Linked DNA regions of Solanum lycopersicum. The protein of the gene in region 1 binds, or shares a complex with, the protein of each later gene. Links are inferred from orthologs where the notes say so. Each region holds a gene or a part of one and is shown on either strand. Other genes may lie near its edges.

What was found.
Region 2: the proteins of acyl carrier protein 1, mitochondrial (region 1) and NADH dehydrogenase [ubiquinone] 1 beta subcomplex subunit 9 are in contact, whole or in part, in a cryo-EM structure (PDB 8BEH), measured with the Arabidopsis thaliana proteins. The link is inferred for Solanum lycopersicum from reciprocal best matches to the Arabidopsis thaliana genes MTACP-1 and CIB22. Residues at the interface, in NP_181990.1 of Arabidopsis thaliana: Asp78, Ser79, Leu80, Asp81, Val83, Glu84, Val86, Met87, Glu90, Glu91, Lys94, Leu95, Glu96, Ile97, Asp99, Lys100, Ala102, Asp103, His118, Met120; in NP_567970.1 of Arabidopsis thaliana: Glu18, Arg21, Ile22, Tyr24, Arg25, Arg26, Leu28, Lys29, Leu32, Arg38, Phe41, Arg49, Phe52, Asn53, Tyr84, Ile85, Val86, Pro87, Trp88, Ala89.

Annotation. Positions count from the first base shown.
Region 1 is NC_090800.1:79,120,300-79,124,225, reverse strand, and holds the start of acyl carrier protein 1, mitochondrial, read right to left. Parts: upstream 2,410-3,926; 5' UTR 2,173-2,409; coding exon 1,981-2,172; intron 1-1,980. UniProt on the Arabidopsis thaliana protein: Carrier of the growing fatty acid chain in fatty acid biosynthesis. May be involved in the synthesis of short and medium chain fatty acids.
Region 2 is NC_090800.1:93,192,520-93,196,445, forward strand, and holds the start of NADH dehydrogenase [ubiquinone] 1 beta subcomplex subunit 9, read left to right. Parts: upstream 1-1,127; 5' UTR 1,128-1,380; coding exon 1,381-1,512; intron 1,513-1,670; coding exon 1,671-1,712; intron 1,713-2,532; coding exon 2,533-2,614; intron 2,615-3,544; coding exon 3,545-3,600; intron 3,601-3,926. Other genes in the region: kinesin-like protein KIN-7E, read left to right, coding at 78-399. UniProt on the Arabidopsis thaliana protein: Accessory subunit of the mitochondrial membrane respiratory chain NADH dehydrogenase (Complex I), that is believed to be not involved in catalysis. Complex I functions in the transfer of electrons from NADH to the respiratory chain.

The DNA.
Region 1 (3,926 bases):
TTATGCAGACCAACTTATAACAGTGATTAGGATACTACTGTGTCAAAGTTGATGCTCTTTTGGTAAAACCTTATCTATTCTTTTTAGCTTAGAATATGAAGAAAATATATGGTAATAGTTAGTTTTTTTCTACTTTTGTCTTACAAGAAGAAGACCCTTCTACAGAGAGAGAGAGAGAGAGGTCATTTGCATTGAACCTGCACATTTGCCGCACTTCTCCACTCGCACCCCTATATTACCAATATACCAAACCCATCCCTTGCACTCCCATGACTCCCTCTCATATCTTTTATCTCGCCAAAGATCAGTCACACAATGATGACGAAAGAGGTCAATAACTTCTCACCACATAGATCACATTAGCAAACTCTTTATCCCAGGCATGGAGCTCTAAAGATACTAAATCTTGAATTGTTTTACGGGGACTTCAAAACGGTTATGGAGATCAGAGATGCGAAAGCAAAAGTCATCAAAAGGTAAGTCGTATTCTGAACAAGATATATGCATTATCACTGACAAACACCCAACAAAGCTAAAAAACAGCTGGCAAACCCAGGTTGCAATTCTACAGAACCAACTTGACATTGTTCATCATGTGAAGGCGAAATGAGGGCCAGCAAAAGCATTTTCCAGTAAGTAACAAGCTCGACAGGCAAAGAAAGTAGTAGAATAAATTTTGATATCACGTCATTGAGGCATAAGTGCCTGCTGAAACATTCCTGGACCTAATTTTGGAGTCCTTGACAGACACTTACCACCCAACACATCTTGCAATAGAACTCTAAAAGCATCTTATTCATCTTTCAGATTAATATTTCCTAATGGAACAAACTTCAATGAACAAAATTATAGTCCATTGTGACCCAAAATATTTCCCGTTCTCTACAATTTGTTCCCAAATTTAATCTTAAATATACTAAACAAAAACTTCTGTGTTGGAAGCTTTCCTGGTTGGTGATACTATGAAATTATGTGCATCCTCTGTTCTAAATTCTACCTTTTTTAAGTTATAAACCTATATTCCCTTGTTTTCGTTCATTAAACCAATTAATTGACGTATCTTTAAAAAAGAAAAAAAAAGGGGGGGGGGGGGGGGGGGGCAGCGAAAGGTGTCATAACCTAACACTTTAGAGCAAAGATCATCTAATAGGTAGATGAGTTCTCTTCTACTGAATCAAATTACACTAAGTTCGATTGGAATTCATGAAAAGTAAATAATTATTCAGTTTAAGTTCAGAACATAGCATTCAGTGGATGAGAAATTTCTCGTTTACTTGTTTTCCAGTCTCAAAGTCGCTTAGAGCTACGACTAACATTTGACATCCAACCTTACAAGAAACTAGAAAAATAAGAAAGAGGATCAACTTCTAGTTCCATTCGCAATCTGCTCAGACAAAGATCACACAATTAAGCTTTTTGAGTGACAATGTTACACTAAAATTGCAATGGACACCAATATTTTCTTTTAATATTCTCCTCTTATTCTTGTGCTGTGCTAGGAGATAATAGCTATATAATTTGATAATATGACAGTGTTTAATCATATAGGTGACCCGATTACCTTCGGATTGATGTTGTTGTTATTTCCATAAGCCAATGCCTATATAATCTTCCTTTTTGGGCGTTAAATAGGTAACCATACCATTTTATAACACTAAATATATTTCACTTTGTTTCATGTCCAGTAAAAAGATACCCATATCATTTTGAAAAACATATAGTACCTATTTTCACGGATTCTCAAAGCTCAAAAAGAAGCCTATTGCTAAACGAAACCCTAAATACCAATCAATTTACCAGTGAATATCATATATGTCCAACCAGAGCTGAGCACCTATCGGCCAAGTAATTAGACCAATAAACAGCTATCTACGATACAAATAGACCATTGATTGAACTTGCAGACGGATTTTTCAGATCTAATTCGATTCATCAAATGTGTATATAAAATAAATCAAAATAAAAGAGAGGAAAAAATACCTTGGAAGGGTCGACTTTAGGGAAGCACTTGACGACATCAAGGACTCTCTTGATGACTTCATCTTTGGTGATATGGTCATCGTGCGACGACATCAATCTGACAGCGGTTAGCCTCAATCCATTTGCCGATACAGCTTGGGTTGCCGGAATCCGGATGTGTCGGAGTATAGCAGATCTCAACGCCGACGCCATTGTTGTTCTCGTATTCTTTGTTATCCCTCTTCTGTTTAGCTTGTTGCGACTGGAAAAAAGTGTTGAATTAGACTGAGGTTTGAGGATTAATTTGGTATTTTACATCGTGATCCCTTGGACCGGAATAGTGAGCCCCCCGGTTCACAAGTACTTGCTGAAAAAAATAAAAATAGAAGGGTTTTGGTTTTGGTTTTGGTTTTGCTTATATTTGACTTGGCAAAAGAAAAAAACTTTATTAGGGCGCGCATTCAGTTTTTTGGTTTGATTTTGTACTATTCGATTTAAGTTTTGATTTTTATTTTTGAAGAAGTGTAACTCAATTTGAACCAAATAAATTTGATTTGGTTTGATTTTTCTCTTTTTAATTAGAATTTTTTCAGTTTGATCAATGGGTTATGTCACTAATTTGAAACATAACAAAGTTCTATTTGCAATTTTACAGAAGACATAAAGACACCAAAGTTGTCTCATACTTTCATAAAGACACTTTAACTTTCAAAGTGTCCTATCACCCCATTGAACTATTTAATATATTTGTAAATGGGTCATTTTGACTCATTCCCTCGTCTAGGTTGTTATCACGCACATGAGGCCCGTCATGCAATATTTTCACTGTCATGGACCAATTTAAACGTGCCACATGTTATCTTTTTCTTTATTATTAATTATTTGATTAATTTATGTCATCTTCCCCAAATTTAAACCCAAAATAGTAGTTGATAGCCCTAATTTTTTGATTTCGTGATTTTTTTCATAGCAAAATCAATGTTGGTTTGATGACTTCATCATCATACGTTGTCCTTAATCATTAAAATAGAATAGTTGAATGATCATTTGAGTATAGGAATCACTCTACTTTGCAATTAGGATTGTCCCGTCATTTTCCTTGGTTGGAAAAAAAAGGAGACTTTTCATTGATTATCCATTCCTTACTCCAATTCAACAAAGGTTAAACTCAACTGCATGAATCACTACGAATACAAATTGAGTAAGATCACGAAAAGCAAAAGCTACTATGTTAAAAAGAAAAAAAGTTCAATAGCCAATAACAAACTGCATAAATTCAGGATCAGACCCCAAGCCTTCCTCCTCCTTCTTAACCTGAAAAGACTGATATCCTCCCGTCAAATATGTGTCGCCCGTCCACTCTGAATAGCAACAAGCCCGCCCCATCCCAAAAGAGAAGATGACTTTTCTTCAAAGAATAGAGTCGATGGGATTGAATTTTGTCATAGTGAGTGAGCAACACGCACAATTACATAGACTAAGGAATGGGTCAAAATGACTCATTCACAAAGATATTGAATGTCTTTATGTCTTTATATATATATATATATGTAAAATTTGGTTTTTCTGGTTTTCATTTTTCTAAATTCGGAATCGAACTAAAAAATCAAACAAAATAAATATAAATCCAAAATCAAACCAAGAATCCAAAAAATCAATCCAAATTAGAATTTTCTTTGGTTTGGTTTGGTTTTTCGATTTAATTCAAATAGTGCACACCCTTAATTACATATTTGTGTAGTTAATCGATTGAGAATTCAAAAGTTAAAATATTTTTAATTAGGGAAAAATAATAAATATATCTTTGAATTATTGTATATGATATGTAGATAATTTTTGTTATATTTTTGGGATATTAGTGCTTCTATGGTTCAAAAGCTAGAGTATCTATATTATTTATATTAACAAACATACACATGTCATAATCTTATTTATTAACTCGACAATTATTAAATATTTTATTGTAA
Region 2 (3,926 bases), about 14 Mb from region 1:
CTGGTATCATGAAAATTTTGTAACTACCATCTCTGTAACATCTGCTAATATGATTCATTATCATTTTTATTCAACAGCCTCAAAGCTCTTAGACGCGAGAGAAGTATGCTCTGTCGGCTCATATATAAAAAGTTACCAGGAGCTGAAAGAAACGAAATATACCAGAAATGGGGCATAAATTTGAACTCCAAAAGGAGGAGACACCAACTGGTTCATCGTCTTTGGAATGACACAGATCTGAATCATGTGATAGATAGTGCTGCCATTGTCGCGAAGCTGATTGGGTTCTCTGACCAGGGTCCGGCCCTCAAGGAGATGTTTGGGCTTAGCATTACACCTCCTCCGAGGAAGAGCAGGAGATCTTTTGGCTGGAAGAACAGTATGTCATCCCTTCTCTGAGCTTTTTGAAAGTTCGGTAGCAAAAGAAGGATATAGGTGAAATTAGCAATAGTCTTATGATGAATGTAATTGGATTGGATACATGTTGCCAATTCACTGATTTAGAGGATTGATGAATAGTTTCTTTTATTAGTTTGCTTAAAGTTTGTACAATACTACTCTGGGGAATCAATTATAATTTTTTGCTTCATATTTGATAGTAATAGATAATGTCCTTAACAATCTAAATCTGGAATTGGAGAAAGTGTTCAAGTAATTCTTTTGGCATATGATATTATAAAACCAATTACTTGTAAGCTGTACCTATCTATACAAGCCATAAATTGGCGATTACCAGAACCAGTTAAATGACATAGCAAGTCTACAATTTTTTACACCGTTTATCGTGTCATACAATAGATTTGCAAGAATTTTAGCTATATTTTTCTTTATTAAATTCTGTAGTCTTTGGAACTTTGATCCATTTAAAATATTACCTCTCATTAAAATTAAAGAGCGATCTTATTCATTCCATCACAATTATTTATCAAAAAATTATTTAATAATTACTTATCATGCATTTTGATTTTTTTGGTGAATAAAATTAAATTGATTTTAGGCCTAAATTTGAAATAAGCGTATCAAACTGTGTAACTACGTTTAATTATATCAAATTTCATCTTTGTCTCTTTCCAAACAAGCCTTAATTACAATATACATCTTTCTTAATTATTCTTATTTTCCATTCACATTTCTTCAAAGTTGATACCAACTTAACTAGCTTGTAATAGATCATATGTCATTATTCAGAAGCACTAACCTAATTAAAATAACATAATAATTATTTTTAACAAACCACCAATAAGACAAATGAAAATGAAAAACCTTATAAATGAAAAGGTATGTTGTGGAACGACGTCGTAGGAAGTAGTTCTGAATACAAAGATCCAGAAAGGGGGAGAGAGCTCTGAGTAAACCAAAGGGAGAGAGATTGAGAAAGCGATGAGCGGAATAGCATCGGTATCGTTCTTAGCTCGAAGAGCATCGCAGAGGGAGAGGGTTCGGATCCTCTACAGGCGTGCTCTCAGAGACACTCTTAATTGGGCCGTCCATCGTCATCTCTTCTATCCTGATGTAAAAATGTTTATCCCAATTCCTAGGGTTTCTTCCATTGATTCGTTTTTTCCACATTTCCTTCATTCGATCTCTATGTGTTCTTGTTTTTAGTTATATATAACTGGTGATTCGTGTTATTGATTAATTTATTTGTTTGTTTGTTTGTTTGTTTTCAGGCGGATGCCCTAAGGGAGCGATTTGAGGTCAACAGAAAAGTGGTTTGTTTTTATTTTCCTTCTTCTTATCCTTTTTATGCAACTTTTCATTTTTCTGATAAGGATTATATGGTTTTAGCTTGATGTTGGGAGTGAAGTCTGTATGTTTTAGTGTTATACAGAGCGACTTGTTCATGTGTAATTTTTTAATTGTGTATGTTTATCAAAAAAACAATAAAAGTTCACATTTAGTGTACTATCAAATAAAATGCTGAAGTATTAATTAGTGTTGAATACAAGTAGTGATAGAAGTATTTGTGAAGGGTAAAATAAAAATTATTTTAGACTGTATGAGTCCTGAAGTGTTCATTTCATTCTTCTTTTCCTTGTTTTTGTTGTGATTTGTTTGTGTACTAGCATATTTTTGGAGTATACAAATTGGCATTTGCTGGTGGTATCATATGTGTTTAGTTCGATATTTGGACATGATATGTTCTGATCATATGTGTTTCGAAAAAAGAATTCACCTTTGTCATGCTCAATTCGTATTTGATGCACAAGTGATACTGGAAACAGTGTGAGGTCAATGTTGCAGATTCTGTTATATAGTAAGAACAATTAGTTACGGATTGGTTTTGGTTCAATTAGTAACTTTCTGGGATTGAGTATTCTGTATTAAAGTTCTTTATGGATAATGAAAATTTACGCTGCTTTCATCTTAGTGATGGCTAATTTCATGGCCAAATGACTGAGCATCTGCGTTCTCTTTTTCAACAAGTGAAATTGTAATTCTGTAGTAACATATTTTGCATTATGTTTTTTTCTTTTTTGTAGTTTTATCTTTTAAGTTCATTTTATTCTGTCTTGGTTTGTTAACATTCAGGAAGATGTTGAAACTATTGATAGACTTATAGCTGATGGTGAAGCATCCTACAATAAGTGGCGGCACCCTGATCCTTACATTGGTATGTTTCTTTATGATTTTTGTATCAAACAACTGCACTTCGATCCCAAGCAAGTTGAAGTTTGCTATATGAATCCTCACTGTCTATGTATTCTTTGTGAGTTTTTCGCTATTAATAAACTGGATTTTCAATCCAATGAACCACAAAAATGTTAAGGATATGTCGGAGTCTGTATTATATGAGATACAGGTTTTGAACTGAATTAGGACCCCCCAGGGTGTGGGTTTTGGTCTAGTGGAGAGAGAGCAGCTTGTACTGTGTGGGGTTAGGCGCATGTCACAGATTAAAGCCTGGTATTTTAAATTATAAAAAAAATGGCTGGTATTTTGAGTGAAGGGTAGGATGGAGCCCATTTTCCACTGAATTTCAAAATGTCACTACTGGCAAGCAGGGATTTCTCAGCCATCAACAAGAAGCCTTGAAATTATAGCCGGCATAAGTTCTGTTGAAATCTTTCACATCTTCCCAACTGTTAGGGGTGCTAAGTTCTTAGACCTAGGGAGTATTGTTTTTTCATATGAAAAAAGACTGCCTCTAATGATGAAATGTCTTGTGGATCACGAGAAAAAAAGGAAGAAAAGAAAAATATCTGCAGGATATGTCTCATCTAAATTTTTATCTATGTTGAAGTTTGTAGATGCTAATTGATAAGTGATTACCTTAAGTCTTGTCCTACTTACCTTTGCATGTTTCCTTGTTGGATTGTGTGATGATCTTTTTTGTTCATACAACTTTTGTCAAATGTTAACAAGCAGTAAACAGATTGCCTTTATAATTTTTTTTAATGTGAAGTATTAGTTTTTGAAAGGATAGTCTTTTGATTTTTTGACACACTTCGGAAATGTGGTAAATTGTGGAAATATGAAAAGTTGAGTGAACTATTTTATGCTTTAGACTTCTGGTAATAGTTTGTCTTTCAATGATGAGCAGTTCCATGGGCACCTGGTGGTTCCAAGTTCAACAGAAATCCAGTGCCGCCAGAAGGGGTAATTTGCTTAGACATTTATTTACATCACGGACAATGTTTCAGTTTATGCTAGTTGCTTTAGCCATTTACTTTCCTGTTTCGTCAGTTTTTGCAACCATCAGGAGTACTCTTCAACTGTTAATTTTTCTATCTGTTGACAACTTGCTAATTCATTCTTCTTTAAATGTCATGACATGTGAAGATCTTTATTTTCTCATCGTGATTTGCTATCTGACATTTTATCCTTATTGTCCTACATTTATATGACTACAACGGGTGGTTTATGCCAATTATATTCACAACTTAAAATAGTTAAAACTGTCAAAGAGGGAGCTTATCAAAAAG